4 linked regions of the Arabidopsis thaliana genome follow. The protein of the gene in region 2 interacts with the protein of the main gene of each other region in a pairwise test. Each region holds a gene or a part of one and is shown on either strand. Other genes may lie near its edges.

What was found.
Region 1: the proteins of AT3G17620 (region 2) and AT4G28370 interact in a protein complementation assay, tested with the Arabidopsis thaliana proteins (one large-scale study listed by BioGRID).
Region 3: the proteins of AT3G17620 (region 2) and AT3G02810 interact in a protein complementation assay, tested with the Arabidopsis thaliana proteins (one large-scale study listed by BioGRID).
Region 4: the proteins of AT3G17620 (region 2) and AT3G03180 interact in a protein complementation assay, tested with the Arabidopsis thaliana proteins (one large-scale study listed by BioGRID).

What each region holds. Positions count from the first base shown.
Region 1 is NC_003075.7:14,032,719-14,040,463, reverse strand, and holds AT4G28370 (RING/U-box superfamily protein), read right to left. Parts: upstream 5,929-7,745; 5' UTR 5,449-5,928; coding exon 5,311-5,448; intron 4,652-5,310; coding exon 4,579-4,651; intron 4,451-4,578; coding exon 4,323-4,450; intron 4,230-4,322; coding exon 4,114-4,229; intron 4,028-4,113; coding exon 3,967-4,027; intron 3,864-3,966; coding exon 3,797-3,863; intron 3,723-3,796; coding exon 3,645-3,722; intron 3,544-3,644; coding exon 3,386-3,543; intron 3,293-3,385; coding exon 3,233-3,292; intron 3,141-3,232; coding exon 3,047-3,140; intron 2,776-3,046; coding exon 2,608-2,775; intron 2,146-2,607; coding exon 1,817-2,145; intron 1,643-1,816; coding exon 1,526-1,642; intron 1,444-1,525; coding exon 1,342-1,443; 3' UTR 1,291-1,341; intron 959-1,290; 3' UTR 796-958; downstream 1-795. Other genes in the region: AT4G28380 (Leucine-rich repeat (LRR) family protein), read left to right, coding at 1-708; ENODL3 (early nodulin-like protein 3), read left to right, coding at 6,776-6,956, 7,034-7,452. UniProt on the Arabidopsis thaliana protein: E3 ubiquitin-protein ligase that regulates the degree of methylesterification of pectin in seed mucilage. May be involved in the recycling of pectin methylesterase enzymes in the endomembrane system of seed coat epidermal cells.
Region 2 is NC_003074.8:6,025,594-6,029,686, forward strand, and holds AT3G17620 (F-box and associated interaction domains-containing protein), read right to left. Parts: upstream 2,102-4,093; coding exon 905-2,101; 3' UTR 853-904; downstream 1-852. Other genes in the region: RBL14 (RHOMBOID-like protein 14), read left to right, coding at 1-580; AT3G17626 (structural constituent of ribosome), read left to right, coding at 2,586-2,627, 2,782-2,901; CHX19 (cation/H+ exchanger 19), read left to right, coding at 3,608-3,805, 3,896-4,093.
Region 3 is NC_003074.8:607,824-613,200, forward strand, and holds AT3G02810 (Protein kinase superfamily protein), read right to left. Parts: upstream 3,317-5,377; 5' UTR 2,963-3,316; coding exon 2,872-2,962; intron 2,769-2,871; coding exon 2,596-2,768; intron 2,483-2,595; coding exon 2,293-2,482; intron 2,221-2,292; coding exon 1,823-2,220; intron 1,731-1,822; coding exon 906-1,730; 3' UTR 614-905; downstream 1-613. Other genes in the region: AT3G02820 (zinc knuckle (CCHC-type) family protein), read left to right, coding at 3,699-4,061, 4,151-4,273, 4,897-4,996, 5,158-5,377. UniProt on the Arabidopsis thaliana protein: Involved in pollen tube guidance into micropyle. Participates in perception of the ovule-secreted peptide signal LURE1.
Region 4 is NC_003074.8:731,343-735,321, forward strand, and holds AT3G03180 (Got1/Sft2-like vescicle transport protein family), read left to right. Parts: upstream 1-2,041; 5' UTR 2,042-2,188; coding exon 2,189-2,219; exon of another isoform or gene 2,220-2,323; coding exon 2,324-2,415; intron 2,416-2,500; coding exon 2,501-2,581; intron 2,582-2,660; coding exon 2,661-2,758; intron 2,759-2,861; coding exon 2,862-3,138; 3' UTR 3,139-3,289; downstream 3,290-3,979. Other genes in the region: AT3G03170 (uncharacterized protein), read left to right, coding at 724-890, 1,084-1,387; GSTF11 (glutathione S-transferase F11), read left to right, coding at 3,729-3,875, 3,948-3,979. UniProt on the Arabidopsis thaliana protein: May be involved in fusion of ER-derived transport vesicles with the Golgi complex.

The sequences.
Region 1 (7,745 bases), on a different chromosome or scaffold from region 2:
GTCGTCCTTGCACTCCCTTCTCTAAAGTACCTTGACCTTCGTTACAATGAGTTTGAAGGCCCCTTGCCTCCAAAACTCTTCAGCAATCCCCTCGATGCCATTTTTGTGAACAACAACCGGTTAACAAGCCTCATCCCCCGAGATTTCACAGGAACAACCGCCTCTGTTGTCGTCTTTGCCAACAATGATTTTAGCGGTTGTCTGCCTCCAACCATAGCCCGCTTTGCAGATACCTTAGAAGAGCTTCTCCTAATCAACTCAAGCTTATCTGGGTGTCTACCCCCCGAAGTCGGGTATCTCTACAAGCTAAGAGTCCTGGACATGAGCTACAACAGTTTAGTTGGTCCTGTACCTTACAGTCTCGCTGGGCTAGGCCATCTCGAGCAGCTAAATCTGGAACACAACATGTTCACTGGCACTGTCCCTCTTGGAGTCTGCGTTTTGCCCAGCTTGCTGAACGTTACCGTCTCTTACAACTATTTCAGTGAAGAAGAAGGTATCTGCAGGAACCTGACTTCCAGAGGAATAGCCATCGATGATCGCTACAACTGTCTGCCTGACAAACCGCTTCAGCGTCCCCAAAAAGTCTGTGATGCTGTACTTGAGCACCCCATAGACTGCTATGACCACGAATGCTCACCCATGGCTCCACTGGTTGCTCCATCTACCGCAGGACCTTCCATTGCTCCTGGTCCAGCTGACACATAAGGATTCACTCTTATGCGCACAATGACAAGATGCTATGTATGCAAAGAAAATGAAAGAACTAGAAATGTGTGAAAGATTTAGTTGTGGGGTGAAGAATATGCACTAAGATTATAACGTAATACAGTTTATACAGAACACAATTGTCTATCTGCGGTATCTAGCCGCAGTTACAGATTCCACCTTTGCTCTGTTTTCATCTAAAAATCTTCTAAACCTCTGCAAGGACCTGAAATTAAAGAACCAGCCCCACCTGTTTCAGGATCAAATTTTGCAGCAGTTAACTTCGCGATTTTGTGAACAATCACACTTCAGGAATGTTTGACAAATAAGTAATACATCCCACAGTCAGACAAAAAAAGGAACCGACAAACCTGAAACACTCAAATAAAAGCATGATTCCTCATAGGCCAACTATTTACAGAGATTTGGGTTTTATCATTTTGAATTCTCATTTATGAAATCATATTTCTGTTAGCAACAAATTTTCTTCAGATAGAACCAAGACCCTATCTATAGACCTAATAGGCAAAGAAACTTCGAAGGAAAAAAAGTAAAATAAAAAATTTAGATTTGAGTTGTTACCCGCAATAATCTGAGTGAAGTCTGTACATCCTAACAAACCGAAAACATCCTCTATGCTGGAGGAAGAGACCGCCGACAAGTTGGACACTCCATTTTTATATCCATCCATCTCTGTAAGCATCCCGAGTGAAAGAAATGTTCACATGGAGTTACCTGTTTTCAGAACAACCACACTCATGATTCTGTCTATTGGGGAAAAAATATAGTTAAGAGAAGCAGGAAAAAACTGCAGTACCATGCAATCACTGGTATGCTGTCTGAGATCAATAGCGGTCATGCAGATAACACAATCAGTGGTGCGGCTTACATCCCGATTAAATCTTCGGTGGTAGTTGTATTTCTCTGGTAGCATCTGCGTGTAGGCAAAACGATGAAGAAAGAGATTAGTGGTAGTCAAAAACAACTTAGCAATGGGAACGAGACTTGAAATATTCAAGCCAAACTGAAACCGAACTGAAAACTTAGTGTTCACTTTATTAGATATATTGTTTCATGTGTAGTTTACATGAATACAAAACAAACTAACCTGACGGGGAACAAAGCAGCGTGAACCAAAATAATGCTGAAGAAGAAGAATGACGGCTTGCAACCCCATGAATGTGCACAAGCATATACACCAAACCTTGTTGGGCTCTACACGCATGAAGTTGTGTGGGCATCCAAAAACATATAACGGTATAGCTAACCGTGTAGCTGTCATGCCCAAGATGTAATATGGGTGCAGAGGCTTTCTTGAATCCCGGACAACATTGGCGACTATTTGTGGTATCCAAAATGAGTACATGAGAAGGAGAATCGGCTGCATGTAGTTGTGGAACTGGTACATTATCAAAATGCCTCCAAGAAGGATCCCATCTGTTTAATATTGTGAAAATGATGAAACATCAGCATTAGCATCTGAACTTGCGTCAAAGTTTCAGCTAAATGAAAAACAGAAGTCACATAAATGGTGAGAATATCTAGCACTCAAGATTCAGTGCAGGTTATTGTCCTTAGAATCAAAATAAAACCTACATAAACTAGTGAATAACTTGGAAATTTTGAGAAGATAAACAAAACCATTTTTCCATACCATAGTGACAGGATATACTCGTATAGTTTCCAAAAATGCAATTTTCTCATTGGGATATTACATTTTTCTCTGTGGTTTGGAAGACAATTCAAACCATTTTCTTGGTATTGGTTTCAAGGAAAATAGCATTGAAAAGAGGGTAAGAGAATCAAGCAGTTATATATGACCCATATCATAAACATGCAGTAAGAAAAGAGTTTGAAGCTTTAATCGATAAAAAAAACACCAAAGAAGTAAGTACTCACAGAAACGACTGTACAGAAAGGACAGTTCTCTCCTCATTGTTTCCCAACCCTCTCCGCTATTGGAAGGACGGGTTGCTTTCCATATAGCCAGAAGATATCTCATCTCAAAAATCGAAAAGACTACGAACTTGAAGAACGCAGCGGTTGCAAATGCATTAAATAGAGATTCTGCATGAGAAGTAGTAAGCTTTAGGTTTAACACTGATTGATAATTGAGAAAGAAAAGAACATCACAATGTCAGGTAGCATAAGGGTCAGTGAGACAGATGAGGGACCGAATGGTCCATGAAAAACCAACAAAGAATATCATCAAAATGAAGGGACACTACAGAGTAAAATAAAAGCTAAACATGTTACATGAAAAAGAAGTAATAAGTTAATTAAAAAGCATAAGAAGATGGCATCCTTTAACGAGTACAATTATAACCAAAATACGTACCGACTAATATACCGGCTGTTAGATGTAAGAGGCACAAATAAGCATCCATGATCGCTTGTTGCCCAATCATTACAATGGATACCTTAGCAGCACCCTTGTATACAATAACTTGCGGAAGTTAGTATTTTTATTCGTTCTGTACAAGAATAACAATATCAGACCATCTGGTTTAAAACAGTATCTTACAGATTGTGTGTTACCGTGCTCCATTTGCCGGATCAACAGAAGAACCTGGAGGAAAGAGACCTAAATGCAATAGAGAGTTAAGGAACACGTAAAATTGCACAAGAACTCGGCATTCTATTATGAAAGAGTAAACGACTTTTCAGTAAAGGATACAAAAGTGACCATCAGTGTATAGTTCACAGCTTTGTTATAGTAGACTTCAACATTTACAGAAGTTGCGTTCAGTAACAAAGGGGAAAAACAATCTCCGTCATCGCCTACCCCAGGACTTTCCATCAATCCTTCCATGTGATAATAATTTTTGTCTCCATCTACCAAAATATGGAAAAGTCTTTCAATTTACAATTAAATGTGACAAAGGAGACAAAGAATACACCAAGATCACTTCGATGTTTAAAGTTAGAATGCATACTATTTTCACTAGAAGCCACACGGGATACTTGAGCTGCTATTTCGATATTACAGTGCTTCTCCATCTCATTTACTGGAGCTGAAGTACAAGAGAATTGAAGATCAGTGTTGCTGAAAAGTAAACCATACTGGAGAAAATAAGATACTGCTTACAAAGTTTCCGTTTCAGTAATCTGTCTCTTGGAGATTCTTGAAACACTTGAGAGGAGAAAATTCCAAGCTGTACAACAACAGAAAGTTGACACTAGTAAGCTCTTGGAACATTTTAACACATCAAACAAGCCATTAGCAGAAGAAAGCACTATCGTTGTCTTAAGGACTACCAGATGATAGGGATTTGAGAGAAGATTATTGTCTTCTTGCCCTGAATCACTCTCCTTGCCGCTGTTTAGGTCAAGTGATGTACAGACCTTGGAGTTAAGACTCAATAATAAATCTTAAGAGCAGTTAAATAAATCAAAAGTTAGTACCTGTTAGCCACAAGGCGGAGTTGTCTAAAGGGCCATATATATACACCTTCCAGATTTATTTGGGCACCACCCACATTTTGTTCATTGTCAAATACGTCATGGAAAACAACTACACCCTGTTTCATTAACGTTGTATAAGTTCAAAACATTGCATTCTACAACATCAACGGTGATCCTATGATACAGAGCTTAGAAGCTGAACTCTTTACCTGAACATAATGCACACCAGTTATCTTCGTTGGAACTGCTACTAACTCAACCACAGAATTACCATTTTCTTTTTGAAAGTCTTGAAACTTCGAAGAGCTATTTAAGGAATTCAGAAACTTCCAAGTTCCTGAAAATACCCGCTTTACATTTGATAAGTAGTCTAAAACATTAAGCTACAGACATATACCCACAACATCGTAGACAATCCTGAAGTGTAAAAGACGTAAAAAAAATGGAGAAGGGCATGCGGCAAACCTCTATAAGTTCCTGTTATATTCCAAGCAGAAAAGGGTCCAACTTCAGCTTCTTGTTTCCTACCAAAGAGCCACTGCAAGATCACAAAGACCTCACGTATTAAACCATTACCCAAACATTGCCTGGTCAGTCTAACGTACATGAGTTCCCTTTGCACAGTCTACTTAAAAGTCACTAGCTACAAACCCAAACTGTAAAATGTCATCGAAGATTCCCCACTATCACGCGTTCTACTTCTGTAACAACTAACCGGTCTCTATGTACCTTAGACTCCATTATTGTAGTCTCATCACACCACACTACTAACGACAGATTCATTCTTATTCATCTCAAAGTATTCGCCGGCAGAACAAAGCTTAGATACCGATGAGCTCAATCGAGCTAATGTAAATAGTTTATATACATTTTCAGCTTTGCTCAATCAAATCAAAAGATAAAACTTAGATCAGAGCTGCTCTACTCCGGGATTTTCATTCAATATGGTCCATTTTCTTCGAAACTCAGAAAATCTCAGACTTAGAAAAAAAATCATCAATTATGACCAGTTCTCGTTCAGCAAATCATGAGCAGAAACAAGTCAATAAAAAAAACATTTGACAGCAAACTGCTCGAATTCTTAGTTGGAAAGGCACATCAAAATTACGAACAAAACATAAAAATATGTTTCTGGGAAACATCGAAATGAAGAAACTTTCGAACAATCATCAATAAAGTAAAAACACACACACATACCTCGTCACTCCATGATCGAGGTTTCTCCCTAATAGGTCTCAATCCCAGCGCTTGTTGCGAAATCGCCAACCAAATCGATAACCATAAGATAATCTGCCACTCGAAGAACCCTAATCCCAAATGTTCCCGCTTCTTCATATCACTCACAACCCCCAAAAATCCCTTCTTTATGACTCAATACAAAATCCGACTGGATCAGAACTGATTCGAGTCTAGCTCAAAAACCCACATAACTGAAGAAAGAAAGAGGTTTGCTTCAAATGAAGTCAAAACAAAACTAGGCTTTGGTTTTGGTTGTGTAAGAAAACCCAAAAGACAGCATAAGATTCGTAGATGTATCAGACAGCAGATAGAAAGATGATTACAGACAGATAAACAACAACAACAATAACAACCTTAAGATGCAATTTGTTTTATAAAAAACTCCAATTGATGAATTTGGGCAATTGCGGTCGTTGAAGCTTCTCAATCAAACGTATTCTTCAATAACTCAATTGTTGAACAAGTCGAAACTTCTTTTTGGTCTCTCTGATTTTTATTTTTATTTTTATTTATTAGCTTTTTCTGTTATAAACGAAGGAAGGTTCAATTGATAAATTAGTTAGTTGAGGTTTCATATTCTCAGGTCTTTTCTTTACGCCTTAAAACTTCTTTTTTCCTCAAAAAGGATTTGTACCAATCTATTACGTTTTTTTTTGGACTAAAACATAAGTAGAAATTTGTATATTTCGATCTCACAGTTTAGGAACGATCATCAAATATTTAATTAGATCCTTCACCCCCACTAAATCCTCATTATAGAAAGTAAACAATTTCTAATATTGTCCAACTACAGTAGTTGATGTTTTAAAAGTAGAGGAGAAAGAGTATAAAATTAGGAGAAAGATTGTGTACATTGTGTAAACTACAAGACAATCAAAAAGGATTCAGTCTTCTACTAATAGTTGGGCTTTAAAGGTAGAGGAGAAGAAACTGCAAAGCCTTTCTTACAACATACCCAATCCATTTGAAAGGCCCACTAAAATTTTATTATTGTATCACTGGGATATTTATCGATTTGTAAATTGAAATATAAAATAAAACAATATGTAACGTAAGTTTTAAATAATAATAAATACTAAAGGATTACAATTTTATATTTGATGGCTAAATAATTACAAGATCTGAGTGAGAAATGTTTGTTTGTGAGAAAGAAAGTGAAAAATTAAAGGTAGATAGCCGTTAAGTCCACTGCATGTCGAGACGTGTTCAAAAGAAGACAGGAGCAAAACCAAAACGCTTCTACTTAATTCGCATTTCTTTAGGTAATCGATGCACAGCCCAAAAAGCTTGACCTAACGGCTATGTTTTCTTTACTTTCACCATAAATAAGCACCTCTTGAGGTTGCAAACACACACACACACACACACTCACTTCAAAAGAGTTAGTAAGAAGTTGGGGTTTGATTAACGTTTTGCATCGGAGATGGGTTTGGTCATGAGGTTTGATCTTTACCTTATGTTTGTGATGTTGATGGGTTTAGGGTTTACGATATCAAATGGATACAAGTTCTATGTTGGTGGGAAAGATGGTTGGGTCCCGACTCCTTCCGAAGATTATTCTCATTGGTCTCACCGAAACCGGTTTCAAGTCAACGACACTCTTCGTAAGTCTATTTCCTCTTCTCTACTATATATACACAATGTGTCAATATTAATGCATAGTAATTTTGATTTTTACAAGATTTTAAGTACGCCAAGGGAAAAGATTCAGTGTTGGAGGTGACTGAACAAGAGTACAACACATGCAACACGACACACCCCCTGACTTCCCTCTCAGACGGAGACTCTCTCTTCCTACTTAGCCACTCAGGTTCCTACTTTTTCATTAGTGGCAACTCTCAAAACTGTCTTAAAGGTCAGAAGCTAGCCGTCAAGGTCTTGTCCACCGTCCACCACAGCCACTCTCCTCGTCATACCTCTCCCTCCCCGTCTCCGGTCCATCAGGAGTTGTCTTCGCCGGGGCCTTCTCCAGGAGTGGAACCATCATCTGATTCAAACTCTCGTGTTCCAGCTCCAGGACCGGCTACAGCTCCCAATTCGGCCGGTTTGGTTGGTCCGGGGATGGTGGTTCTTGTGATTATGATAAGTTCTCTGTTTTGAGGGGTTTATATATTGTCGCTAGTCATTAAATTTGTGAGGGTATTAATTACTCTACCATTGAGTTTCATATTTATGTGCCTTTTTATTTGTATGTTTGAAGCATCTTGTAACCCATTTTTAATGTTTCCGCTGTCTCGTTTTTGTTCTTACTAAAGAAAATATTTAAGATGTTTTTTTGTATTGATTAGATGCGAATGTTTTTATTTTGTGTTTTAATTATGATCACACTAATATGAATATATACGACGAATATGTAGAGTTCACATAGCTCATGCAATAAAACTTCTCCACAC
Region 2 (4,093 bases):
CTATGACAGAGCTTACTACAACGAGTATGCGGTTGGGTTCTCGGGTGTTCTCTTTGCTATGAAAGTTGTTCTTAATTCTCAAGCTGAGGATTACTCAAGTGTGTATGGTATCTTGGTTCCAACAAAGTATGCTGCTTGGGCAGAATTGATTCTAGTGCAGATGTTTGTACCTAACGCTTCGTTTCTTGGGCATTTGGGTGGAATCCTTGCTGGTATTATCTATTTGAAGCTGAAAGGTTCTTACTCAGGCTCAGATCCAGTCACTATGGCGGTTAGAGGTGTATCTCGATTGGTGACGTGGCCCTTGAGGTTTCTGAATGGTATGGTTAGGTCTCGGAGAAGGAGGATTACGGGGAGAGGAAGAGTGGGAAGAGGTCAGACTGGGATAGCAGGACCTGGTATTTGGAGATGTCAGTCGTGTACATATGACAATTCTGGTTGGTTAAGTGCTTGCGAGATGTGTGGCTCGGGACGGGCTAGAGGAAATGGATGGTCACTGAATCAGGGACCAGCACTTTCTTCTTCTAATGATCTCCCTTTAGATGAGCTGCGCCGTCGAAGAGTAGAGAGGTTTAGTTGATCTCGGGAGCGCATTCTTAAAGCTGAGGAAGGATTGTGAATGAAGCTTTGTTGAATCATTCATTGCATTAGCTTATGAATAGCAGAGTTAGTGGTCGTGTTTTTCGATCTGTTTCTTCAATTTGTCTTCTCTTTTGTTGTTGAAGATTTGGTTCTACGTGAACTGGTCCTTTGATTAGATTGCTGAAAGTAGCGAGTGATTCAGATAATATAGTATCTTCACACCAAACTTACAGTTTCACAGACTTTCGATTTTAACAAAATTTTATCCTATTTCAAACCAAATTTTGTTGAAAGAAGAAGATCACAAAGCAAGATATAAATGTTAATCAGTAATCAATTTCCCTTTTTTCTTCCTTTTGCCTCCTTGCTTGATTTGCGCTGAGCTTGGAACATACGAGCACACAAGTGGATCTCGAATTTTATCAGTAGTTTTTCCGAGATCCACTTCTTTGTAATATCCATCCTCTCCAATGATGTAAGCTGTGTTGTGAGTGGGATACATTACATCTTTGTCTTTAGCAAAGACTACAACAACTTTCTTCTCTTCGTCAATGATGAAACTCGCATCTGCAATTCCAAACTTAAAATCAGTGAGTGGTTGCATATCCACTGCTAAGAACAACTTGCTCCACATCACCTCTTCAGGTTCAATCTTAGTCGTAACCCAAATCTCCATATGTAAGTTGTCCTTACGCTGAAATAACACAGCAAGTTGCTCTTCTCTAACACTAGAAAGACTCACAGTATCTACATCCATAGGGTAACACGGCAAATGAAGACGCGGCCCAAATCTCTCCGATGTAAAATTAAAACAGAGCAAGAAATAAACACTATGTATAAGATTACTGCTGATTTCTGGAAACTTGTCTGTAGCAAACCAATAAGTATTTCCCTTGAGAGAGACACCTCGTGCATAAAACTCTACTTCCCAGTCGGAAGTGACATCGAGAACCCTCCATGAATTAGACTTTAACTCGTATATTTCGTACTCAACAAATTCTTCTTCGGCAAAATCAACGAATCGCAAAACTTTGTAGCGTAGGCTTGATTTACGCTTCTCGTATCCTATAGCACAGATATACCAGTCCATTCTATGGTCAGGACTACTGGGTTTGAGCCACAAAGTTTGGCTCCTATACGGATTCCAAACCACGACCCTAGTGTAGTCTTTCGAGATACATAACAGTAAACCGTCGCAGTGATATACTTCAGATATATCGATCTGATCTGTACCGTTTAGGCTAACAAGTTTAGCTTGACGGTTTATAGACGGGTCAAAGCCGTTGTGAATTCCACGGAGGTTGATGCTCGTTAGATAAACCTTACAATGCAAGACCATGACAACCTTAAACTCACTTTCCCTTGATGTTGCTTCCTGAGCAAGGTGCTTCTTTGTAAAGCTCCGCTTTTTGGATAATGTTTTCCAATTTTTGCAGGTAAATCGCGCTTCTCTCAATGATTTCACCGGAACCCTAGAGAGTCTCTCCTCCAACAAATCTCTTGGAAGATCGGACATCATCTTCAAATCTTTCAAATTTGAACAAGGATCGATGTAACACAAATTAGTTAGGTTTGAAACTTCAGTAAAAAGCTCTCATGTTTCCCCACAGGAACCCTAACTCAAGCTGGGCCGAAACACAACTCTGCCCTCTAAAAATTTCCCGGAATTATTCATCTTTTTGAACTCTTATTTATATGACTGTGATGTCGTTTCATTTATGGGCTTTATTATTGGGCTTTTAGCCCAACTGTAGTTAAAAACTTTTTAGTGATTCTCATTTGTATATGGCGGGGGAGATGATCGACGGTCGCTTCTTGCGGTGGAGATGGAGGAGGAAGACTCTCCTCTCCGACTGCGGCGATTGAACCGAGAGAGCCACCGAAGATTCGAAACCTACAAAATATAGAGGGTGATGTAATCCAGCGTCTGAGCTCGCTGAGAACAGCCTCGACGCCGATTCCAATTCAGTACGGTGGCTTAAAGCTCCTTCAATTCTCAGACCATGGCCAAGGCTCTGTATCTTTTGCTCACTGGTTCTACCATTGTGAGTTCTTCACTACCACCTGCTTTGAATTCAACTACAATCTATCTACAAAATTCTCTAGCCGAAACCTTTCAAGTTTTAGCATGAGACCCTTAGCTTCAATTGTTTTTCTCTTGGACACTGTCTAACTTTGATTCTTCTTGGAATTGATTAGGAAATGGCTAAGAAAGTTGGAGAAGTTATAGAAAAATCCTGCGTAGAGAATGGGATCACAAAGGTGGCCTTTGACCGTGCAATTTACACTTACCATGGCTTTAGCTGCTTCAGCAAATAGAACACGGTCTCCAATTTTAAGTCTTTTTTTGTTTTGTCCTTCTCAGAAATTTGCTTGTATAGAACCCATGATTGAAATTTAGATTAGTCGGCTTGGAACAGTGTTAACTTCTTCCTTTTTAATGTGTTCATTTGTTCTTACTACTTATGCATCTCAAGAATGTTTATATCGTCTATACGATGATAATATATTTGAAAATGGTTGATGTTTACAAAGCTTCAGAAGGTAAGACATCAAATGTGCTGCTTAGTTAAGAGACAGGTACAAGTGCTTGCAAATTTAGGACAGAAGGACAAAGACAGAGACGAAAACTTCGGCGCAGTGAAGGCAGTTCATATCTGCGAAGTATAGATGCGATATGGTTGGAAGTTAAGTAACTGATAGTCTATAAATAGAAAAGTGCGAGGTATATGCCCACCCTGGAGTTGGTATGTCCGCTTCTATCTCATCTACCTATTATTAGCAAACTATAGACGTTATTAGTTTTCTGTTTTTTCCTTTTATATACTCACTTCTTTAATGTAGATTCTGTTTAATAAAAACAGTAACAGAACAGAATAAAATCTTGATTTCTTTTTTTTCCTCCCATTCAGGTCTCATACTTCGTTTGGCAATGCAATGAGGGAGCAGCCAAGGCAGTATTGAAGGGTGAAGCAGTATCTCGTTTCTTGACCAATCATCAACCTGTAAGTAGATCTCCACTAGGATGGCAAGCACCAACGTTACAGGGCAATGCCCGGGTCCAATGAAGGCTACCTCCAATGGAGCCTTCCAAAACGAAAGCCCTCTTGATTTCGCGCTTCCTCTTATCATCCTACAAATCGTCTTGGTGGTTGTGTTTACAAGGCTCTTAGCTTACTTTCTTAAGCCTCTCAAACAGCCCCGAGTCATTGCTGAGATCATTGTGAGTTTCCTACTCAATCTCTTTGTATTTTTCTTTTTCTGTTTTGATGAAATCACATAGCAAAAGAGACTAAAAGGGATGGTTCTGTAGGGAGGGATACTGCTTGGACCTTCTGCACTAGGGAGAAGCAAGGCCTATCTTGACACCATCTTCCCAAAGAAGAGCTTGACCGTTTTAGACACACTCGCCAACATTGGTCTTCTGTTTTTCTTGTTCCTAGTTGGGCTTGAGCTTGACTTTGCAGCAATAAAAAAAACTGGAAAGAAATCACTATTGATAGCCATAGCT
Region 3 (5,377 bases), 5.4 Mb from region 2:
CATAAAGGAGACAACTTTGAAAAGCGTACTCAGATTTTGGGAGCTTTTGGTAGGATCCTTCCTTCCTTTGTTGATTTGCTTAGAAAACCTTAAATGGATTTTAGGGTGGACCTCACTTCAGGAATCTCCAAGATCCTGACACGTGTCGTTTTCTCTGCTTTTATTTGACCTCATAGCTGACGATTCTTTACGAATCTAATTTGGGTCAATCCTGTAAACATTATCTAATTTTGATTAAAATAAATATTCTTAGAAAGTATAGTGGTCGAATCATGAAAGAAAAGTAAAACTAAGTGGTCTCATTTAAAAATTTTGATTCCACAGACTGAAACTTTTGACAAGTGTCGTTGACAAAAAGATGGAAAACACAAAGACTATCCTTAATTGCAAAAATAGGATAAGAAGTAGATATGTCTTTTATCTATCAGTTTAAGTATCTACTTTAGTATATCCAAATTGAGAATCTAATACTTTCCATTTCCTATGAATAATGTAATATTTGCTCATAGGCTATATGAGTCACAGCTAAGATTGATTATTAAGATTCTTATCTAGGGTTTGATTATCTCATACTTGTTTTTCTTTAAAATGCTAAACTATTATTATTTCATCTACTATTTAAAGAAAAACACAAGTACGTAACATTTTTTTTTAAAGGATTACAAAAGCTGAGATAAGTTTTCTCAATCAGATTATCTGATTATACAACTTGTTTCTTTATTAATCTATCAATCCAAAACATCTTCATCATGTATAAAGAGAGATGGTTATAATTTGTTAAGAAAAACCGTCAATATGTATCTTATTTTAATACCCAATTAAGAATTTTTCCCAAAAATAAACCCAAAAAAGTTTCAAATACTTCTTGTGAGCTTCAACGGATTGATAAAAAATCTTGAAAAATGTCACTCTTTAATAGAATCGATCGCAACATCTGATTTTATCCGATGCAAAGAGCCTCCATTGTCATCTCCTGAATCATCATCATTATCAAAGTAAACACTTTGATCATCATCAGTTTTTGAGCTATCAATGTGTTCAATATGAGTATGCTTTTCTTCTGCCTCTTCCTCTTCCTCTTCTTCTTTCCCTTTCTCGTCTTGATCTCTGTCGCTATCATAACGCGAAGAAGTACTTTCGTCGTTTGATTTTTGGCTGCTTTTACTGCTTAGCCTCTCATCATTGACATCAATATCTTCCCAGCTATATCTATACTTTATCTTCAAGCTTTGCGCCTGGTTCTTCTCATCAATAGGCTTTGGTGGTTGGTCCTTTTCATGTTCAGAGTTAGAATCAGACTCATCATCAGATTCCATTGAGCTATCTTCCTCTTCATGTTTCTTCTTATACTCATTCTTACTCACACTCTCCTTTTCGCTCTCCAAAGATGATTCTTCGCCTGATGAGGTACTAGATTTGTCATCTTCCGTAGCTAGCTCAGGAGGAGGAGATACAAGATTTGAATCATGTCGGCTTAAGGCTATAGACATGCTCTTGTCTTTGAAGGATAAGATAGGAACTGTTGTGGGAATACCATCTTCTGTAGGCATCGAAAGGAAGCTAAGCGCAACCATTACATCGCTTATAAGAGGACGAGCTGATGCTTCCTCTTGCACACACATTGAAGCTATTGCCACTGCTTGGTTTAATCCTCTCTCTGAGAATTTATTCTCCAAAACTGGATCTGCCATATCGGGATACCTCTTCGGATCTCTAAATATCGGTTGTGCCTGCGATAACATGAATTGTTCAGCAAGATAAAAACTTCTTGTTTTAACTTGGTTGAAAAAGTGCAATAATATTAGGGTTTGTTATTTATTACCCAAGAAACTAAGTTCTGTTCATCATTAGGCCTAGTAGTATCAAGAGCTCTTCGACCCGTGATAAGCTCAAGCAACACAACACCAAAGCTATAGACATCTGATTTCAAAGTGAGATTTCCGCCTCGTGTATACTCAGGTGCAGAGTAACCATAAGTTCCCATTACTCGTGAAGATAAAGCCATCATCTTATCACCTGTCCCGGGTCCTAGCTTATGTAGACCAAAATCAGAAAGCTTAGGAGAAAAGTCATCATCTAACAAAATGTTTGAAGCTTTCAAATCTCTGTATATCACGGGTGGATTCGCTTTATCGTGCAAGTAATCAAGCCCTTGCGCTGCAGCATACGCTATCTGCATCCTAGTTGTCCAATCCATCGGATCACTGTCTGCTTTTGGTTCTGCAAAATTCAAATTGTCATTTCTTTCAAAGTAAAAAAAATGTGTTCAATGAGAATCTCTCAATTTAGTACCATGAAGATGGTCTTGAAGTGAACCTCCAGAGATATAATCATAGACCAAAAGCCTTTGATCTCCATCCGCGCAGTAACCAATAAGCTTAACAAGATTCGGATGATCAAGTTGGCCTAAAGACAAAACCTCAGCTTGAAACTCTTTGTTTCCATGTAATCCATGCTTGTCTAGTTGCTTTACAGCCACCACCTACAAGACAAATTCTTCTGATTCTGATGATGGCTCATTGAAAAATACCTAACTTTGGTGATGGTCTCATGAATGTATCCTAAATTCCAAATTCTGGAGATTTAAGGAAGAACCTGGCCAGTAGATTTGAGGGTTCCTTTGTAAACCCTACCAAATCCACCTTCTCCTAGCAAACACTCTTGCCGGAAATTCTTTGTGGCTGTAGCTAATTCCCGGAAAGTGAATATCTTCAACGATGTTCCTTCCGATTGCTCTATTTCCTCTGTTTCTTCTGCACGTCTCCTATCTTTAAAAACAAACAAAAAATGATCATTTTTTGTTTTCTTTCATTTTACTGATCGTATGAACAAGGAAAACTAAGAAATGGTACATCGTTAGGAGATAAATACCATCTGGTTTGGGTTCGTTGTTGTCGTTGGTCTCATTCGTAGTTGAAGATTTCTTGTTCTTTGGCGAAGAGAAACACGGAAAACAGTGCATGATGATGATCAAAATCGGTTTTAGCAATCAAAGAGTATTATTATTTGAAGATAAAACAGATCGAAAAGAATTAGATTTTTGGAGTTTTGTTTAGGATTAAGCAATGGTCGGGTCCTTCATGGAGATTGAAGGACCCACGTAAAAGAAGAAACACAAGAAAAAAAATGAAAGGAGAAAGAGAAGAAGAAGATGAAGTTGACAATCCAAACCACCGGAAAATCGATGAAGAAGAGTAATTTTTCCGAGAAAAAATGGACAAAAAAAAAGTTTAGATTTTTTGTAATAATCTCAATCTCTCATAAACTCTTACCTTTTCCCAAAAGCATGGAGAACCATCCTTCTTCTTTCGAATTTCTGTATAACCTAATTTTAAAAATCCTGTAAATAAATTCTCAAGTAATGATCTTGAAGTGGATTAATCTGTCCCACAACACACTAAAATTAATAATTTTTGCCAGTATTGATAGATCATCCCGCTAAAAAACGCTATTTCTGGACTATAATAATACTATTTCTGGACATTATTTGCAACTCTCTGTCTTCTCTACTACGTTACTAATATATTCTACTGGGCTTTAAGGCCTCAAATTACAATATGTTTGGTTCCAAAATTTGTATTTAATGGGCTTCTCTTTCTTTAGGTTTTTATAATAAACCGGGTCAAACAGTACCCGACTCGTCTAATTTTCCCGCTAAAGAAAAAGTGAAAACCGCCCAAATAATTTTCGATGGTGGAATGATAAAAGACCTAAGAGGGAGAAAGAGAGATCGAAGAGTGAAATCTGAAATGGAATCAGCTCCGACGGGATGCTTCAAGTGTGGTCGTCCCGGTCATTGGTCTCGTGATTGTCCATCATCGGCTCCGGTCGCCGGCAATAATTCCGTTTCTTCTTCTTCCGCTCCATCTCAAATCCCTAATAATGAATTTCAGAGATCCTCCAGTAAAAGTGGAACCTCAATAGCTCCTGCTCCTAAAGTGACGAAGACGAGAGTTCAAAGGCCCAAGCTAACTCCTGAATTGTTACTCTCTGAGGATGGTCTCGGCTATGTTCTTCGCTATTTCCCTAAATCCTTCAAGTATCGTGGCCGAGGCAAAGAGGCAAGTCTTTTTTTCACCCGCAGATTCGTTTAACAGCGGTTTTACATGTTACAGTGTGATAATTTGGATAATATGAATAATTTTTATAGGTGAGCGATTTGGGGAATTTGATACGGTTGTACAGTGAGTGGCACACTCATTTGCTACCTTACTATTCCTTTGATCACTTTGTGCATAAAGTTCAACAAGTCGCTTCTACTAAGCGTGTTAAGGTACTACATTGCTCGATCCACTTTTTCTGTTTTTGTAAAGCGTTCTTCCTTGTGGCAATTGTGAATCTATGAATCCGGATTTAAAGGTTGAAAATATTCCGATGATTGTATTAAGCAGTGGTTAGTCTAGATTGCTGTAATCAGAATTACATTGTTCGTCTCCTTGTTTGATGTTCACTCATGTGTTGCTTTCAAGTTGCAAGATAGAGGATCTGAGTATTTGTTAGGCTGTTTTGGTATATGATCATTGTGCTCATATGTTAGTCTTTACTTGTGTAACATACTTAGGTTCTTCCAGTAACTAAAAACTATATGTTCACTTGATGGCTATGTTGCCTTTGCGTTTATACTTGATCTGAATCCTGCTGACGGGCTAACATCGTGAAACAAATTATATAGGCCAGAATGACATTGCTTGTCTCGTTCTTTGGTGATCAATCATCTGTTGCTTTAAAGTTCGAATTACTAGACTCTGAGGCTGTGTTAGGTTGCTCATACGTTCTTTACTTCCCTAACATAGTTAGGTTCTGCCAGAAACTGAAACTATATATTCACTCAATGGCTATGTTGCCTTTGCATTTATACTTGATACATTGATATATACTGATGTGTTATCCTTTTAGAATTGTATAAATGAACTGCGAGAAAGGGTTGCCAGTGGAGTTGATCCAAACAAGTTATACGAAAAGCAGGAAGAAAATACTGTTCCTTCTGATGATCAAGGTATGTCAAACAGATCAGCTTTTTTCCCTTGAATCTTCTTTTAAGTTTAAGATATTGATACGAAAAGGAAACGCTTCTTATGTGGCTGCATAACACTTAAGTTCAATATCTGTTACATTACAATCTTGTGGGTAATGAATAGTCTTCTGCTGGTAATCTAGATATGGATCAGCCAAGTCATGACGAAGAGAACATACCATCAAAGAGCGTTGATGCTGATACAAATGCTGATGCTTTTGAAGACAGTATGTTGAATGAGATATTTGATAATGCTTCAAAGTTACCGAGCGATGAACAAAACATGGATAAAAGCAGTGAACTGACAGAAGAGCAAAGAGCACGTATGGAAGCTAATAGATTGAAGGCAATGGAGAAAGCTCA
Region 4 (3,979 bases), 5.3 Mb from region 2:
AAAGAACAGGTTATTCTAACTCTGTGTCTTACCAGTTGAAGCAGTAGAAAATTAGTTCATTTAATTTACGCAGGAATAAGGAAAGAGAAGAAGCAAAGTAGAGGAAAACATTCTACTTGCTCTTTGGTGAAGAAAACGTATAGATTCCTCCGTATTTCCATTTTTCTCCCCAATTAGTTACACATCTTGATATGTTTTTTCAAAGCGATCATGTGCTAAGGGGCCTTAGAAACGGTCCATAAATACATAAAATAAAGTTCATTTATCAATCATGGCCCAAAAGTCTTTGAATCTGTTCAACGTAGTTCGACACGTATCGTTAGATTCGTTACACAGAGATTCTCGATGGCCTCGTTGTTCGTGCCATCTGTTTCCACCCACCACGTAAACAAGTATTTAAACTCCGTCCATTTCTTCACTCTTTCCACGTGTCGTCATCTTGTTCCATCATTCCCAAAATATCTTATCTCTGACATAAAAAAATACCCTACTTATTATATAAAGACCGCAAAACCAGAACCCATGTTCATGGGCGTGACATGTTATTTGACAAACAGAGCTCATTAGATAATGTTTTAAATTCGAATATCCATTGCGTAAACATTGTAAATAAACTTTAATAACGGGCCGACTATATAAACACATTCATTAAAATAATTATAGTCGTATAAATGCCACTGTTCTCTCAACTCTTAATCAATTAGAAGCCGCTTAGAAGAAAAAATGCACTATCAAGAACAGATGGAGTCTCTTATGTTGGGTGAAGAACGCAGACGCGGAAACTACACCAGAGACGTAGACGCGGACGCAGATGAAGGTGTTAACTCTCCCTCTTCTTTTCCAAACTCCCCTGATGATTCGGACCGTCGCAGTTCTTCTTCTTCTTCAAGGTAATGAGAATCAGAAAGTTCCGCTTTTAACCCCTGGCTTTAGTAATTGTCAGAACAAACCCCAATCATTAGGGTGTATTCTTAAACAATCTTATAGTTTAGGGGTATAATTAATTTCTGAGATCTTTTTCGTTGTAAAGAAACTTTTTAATCTTCCTACCACGAATTTATGTTTGGGAAATTTTGATAACAGGAGAGGATTGTCGAAACATTACAAAGGTAAATCACAATCGTTCACAACGTTGGCAGAAGCGCTAACTGTGGAAGATCTCGCGAAGCCTGAGAATCCATTCAACGCAAAGCTGAAGCAGCGACGAGAGAGCCCTCACTGTCGTAGATTATCAGGATGCGGCGGCGCATCGGAGCGAAATTTAAGTGTCCACGACGTTTTTCTCGCTGGGAACGATAGACCGCCGCGACTTTCCGGTAACAGACCGCCTCCGAGAGCCCAGACGCTCTCGGCGGCTCATATTTCGGCTTTGCTCACTCGAACCTAAACCGGAAGAGAACCGGGTTTCGTTTGGGACGATGTTTTTCAAATCTTTTGTTTTCTAATCTTGTACAAGTTGTTGTTACTTTAAAGTGTTTTGACTCTTTTGATAATTTTGTAAGTTTCAGTTTAATTTAGAGAGCACTTAACAGTATATATACAAGTAACTGACCAATTGAAAATGTTCTGTATTTTTAGATGTGATGAACTAAGAAAATTAAAATAATGTTCTGTATTTTTAGATGTGATGAACTAAGAAAATTAAAATTGATGAATTAAGAAAATGAAAAATCTAAATTCTTAGAGATTGATGGGCTGGACTAGAGGAGTCGCAGTTATCTATATTGGGCCTACAATGGGCTTTCTTAATTTACAGCCTCTTTTTTTTGCGGCAAATTTACATGTCTCTTAGCTTTCATATTTACAAATTTTACCCACTTATACTAACTAGTACAAATTCCATCATGTATTTTCTTTGTCATTAAAATACACCTTACTTTTTGTTTTATCCAATTCATGGCAGAAATTATATGTAGAATGCTAAAGTCTAGAAATGTTTTGGGGTGTATTCCGAAATAATTAATAGTTAGGTGGTTCTTTTGAAATTTCTTAATGATTATTGTATAATGCTGTCAAGATGACGTGGAGACCCATGGGATGACGAAGTTTTCACTGGCACGATCCATTCTTCATCGATTCAAACTCTTGGATTGATTTCAGAGATCAAAAGATAACACTTTCTCAGATCTTAAATTTGTTTGAATTCCTGCTCTTAAAGGTTTTTGATTGTGCAATTTTTTCGGTAACAATGGCTTCCTTGGAGATGAATGACCTAAAAAGTAAGTGTTCCAATCATAAACTCTTTGAATAGGGATGTGATAATGAACTAGTATCCATTGATCTTGAATTGCTGAATCGTTAAGGAATTTGATTGATGTGGCAGAGATAGGGCTAGGTTTGACTGGATTTGGTGTGTTCTTTACATTCCTGGGAGTGATATTTGTGTTTGACAAGGGACTCATAGCCATGGGGAACGTAGGTCTATTTATACCATCTTTGGTGTGTGTTCTTTACGATTTTAGCAAGGCTTTTTAAGGGTCTCTGTGGTCTCTTTGGACAGATCCTCTTCTTAGCTGGTGTGACTCTAACCATTGGAATCAACCCAGCAATCCAATTCTTTACTAAACGGCAGAATTTTAAGGTTCTTTCATGAATCCCTTGTGCTTCCAATTTGATGACTATTATTAATACAATAATACATCTTCTTGATATACATACAGGGTACTATATCATTTGGATTGGGTTTCTTGTTGGTTGTGTTTGGATGGCCTATTTTCGGTTTGCTTCTTGAATCATATGGGTTCCTTGTGCTCTTCAGGTGGGTTTTCTTCTCCTCAACAACATTTAATGGTTTTACTAATTCATTTCTAGTTTTGATTTGCTGACTCATGTCTTTCCTTTATTCTTCTGTAATTTTAAAGTGGTTTCTGGCCTACACTTGCCGTCTTCCTTCAAAGGATACCTCTATTAGGCTGGCTTTTGCAGCAACCATACATCAGATCGGTACATTCATTGCAACTTCTCTCTGTTTTACTATTTAGACTTATTTGCCTTATCCAATCAAACTTTTACCAACTATATATATTGGTCACTGAATCAGTTGCTGGATCGCTACCGTGGAAGGCGTGTCCCTGTCTAAACCTTCTTTGCCTTTCTTTCTTTCTTTTTGTGTGCGAATTGACCACTATCCAATTATGAAGCTTAACATGGCATTTAGAGTTCTTAACACTCTCTAGTCTCTTGTATCATATTTGACATAATTGGACTGTACAAAAACAAATACCTTTTGTATTTTATTTTAAATTTACAAAATTTTACATATATGTAATTAGAAACCTGATTTAGCAAATTAGAGCAATCAGAAACATTCATGAATGCCAAAATATATACGCAAAGTAACCTTCAAAGTTTGTTTCACATCGACACTTATTATAAGTTAACTGTAATTAAATGTTGGTTCGTCTACTGTACACATCTCCAGTACTATAGTGAAAAATAATTCACAGCTCTTGTAAACGTTATTATTCACAATTTTAATTAGAACAACAACAAAAAACATTTTAAAAATCAAGAATTCCATGCTAAAAGCACGTTTCATGATCTCACCTACTCAAAGGTCCAACGGATTTGAAAAAAAAAAAAAAAATGACCACTGATTAATATCCACAGCAGACAAAGGCACTCATAAACATTTTATAACTTTTGTGGCCTATAAATGCATACATCCACATTCATGTCGGTATTTACAATTTCATATCAATAGTTACGTATAAACATATAATCAGAAAATGGTGGTCAAAGTATATGGGCAGATAAAAGCAGCTAATCCACAAAGAGTATTGCTCTGCTTTTTGGAAAAAGACATCGAGTTTGAAGTAATTCATGTCGATCTCGATAAACTTGAACAGAAAAAACCACAACATCTTCTTCGTCAGGTATATAAGTCACAATATTTTCAGTATTATCACAGAAAACGTGTTATTCATTACGTTGTATACTTGTATTAGCCGTTTGGTCAAGTTCCAGCTATTGAAGATGG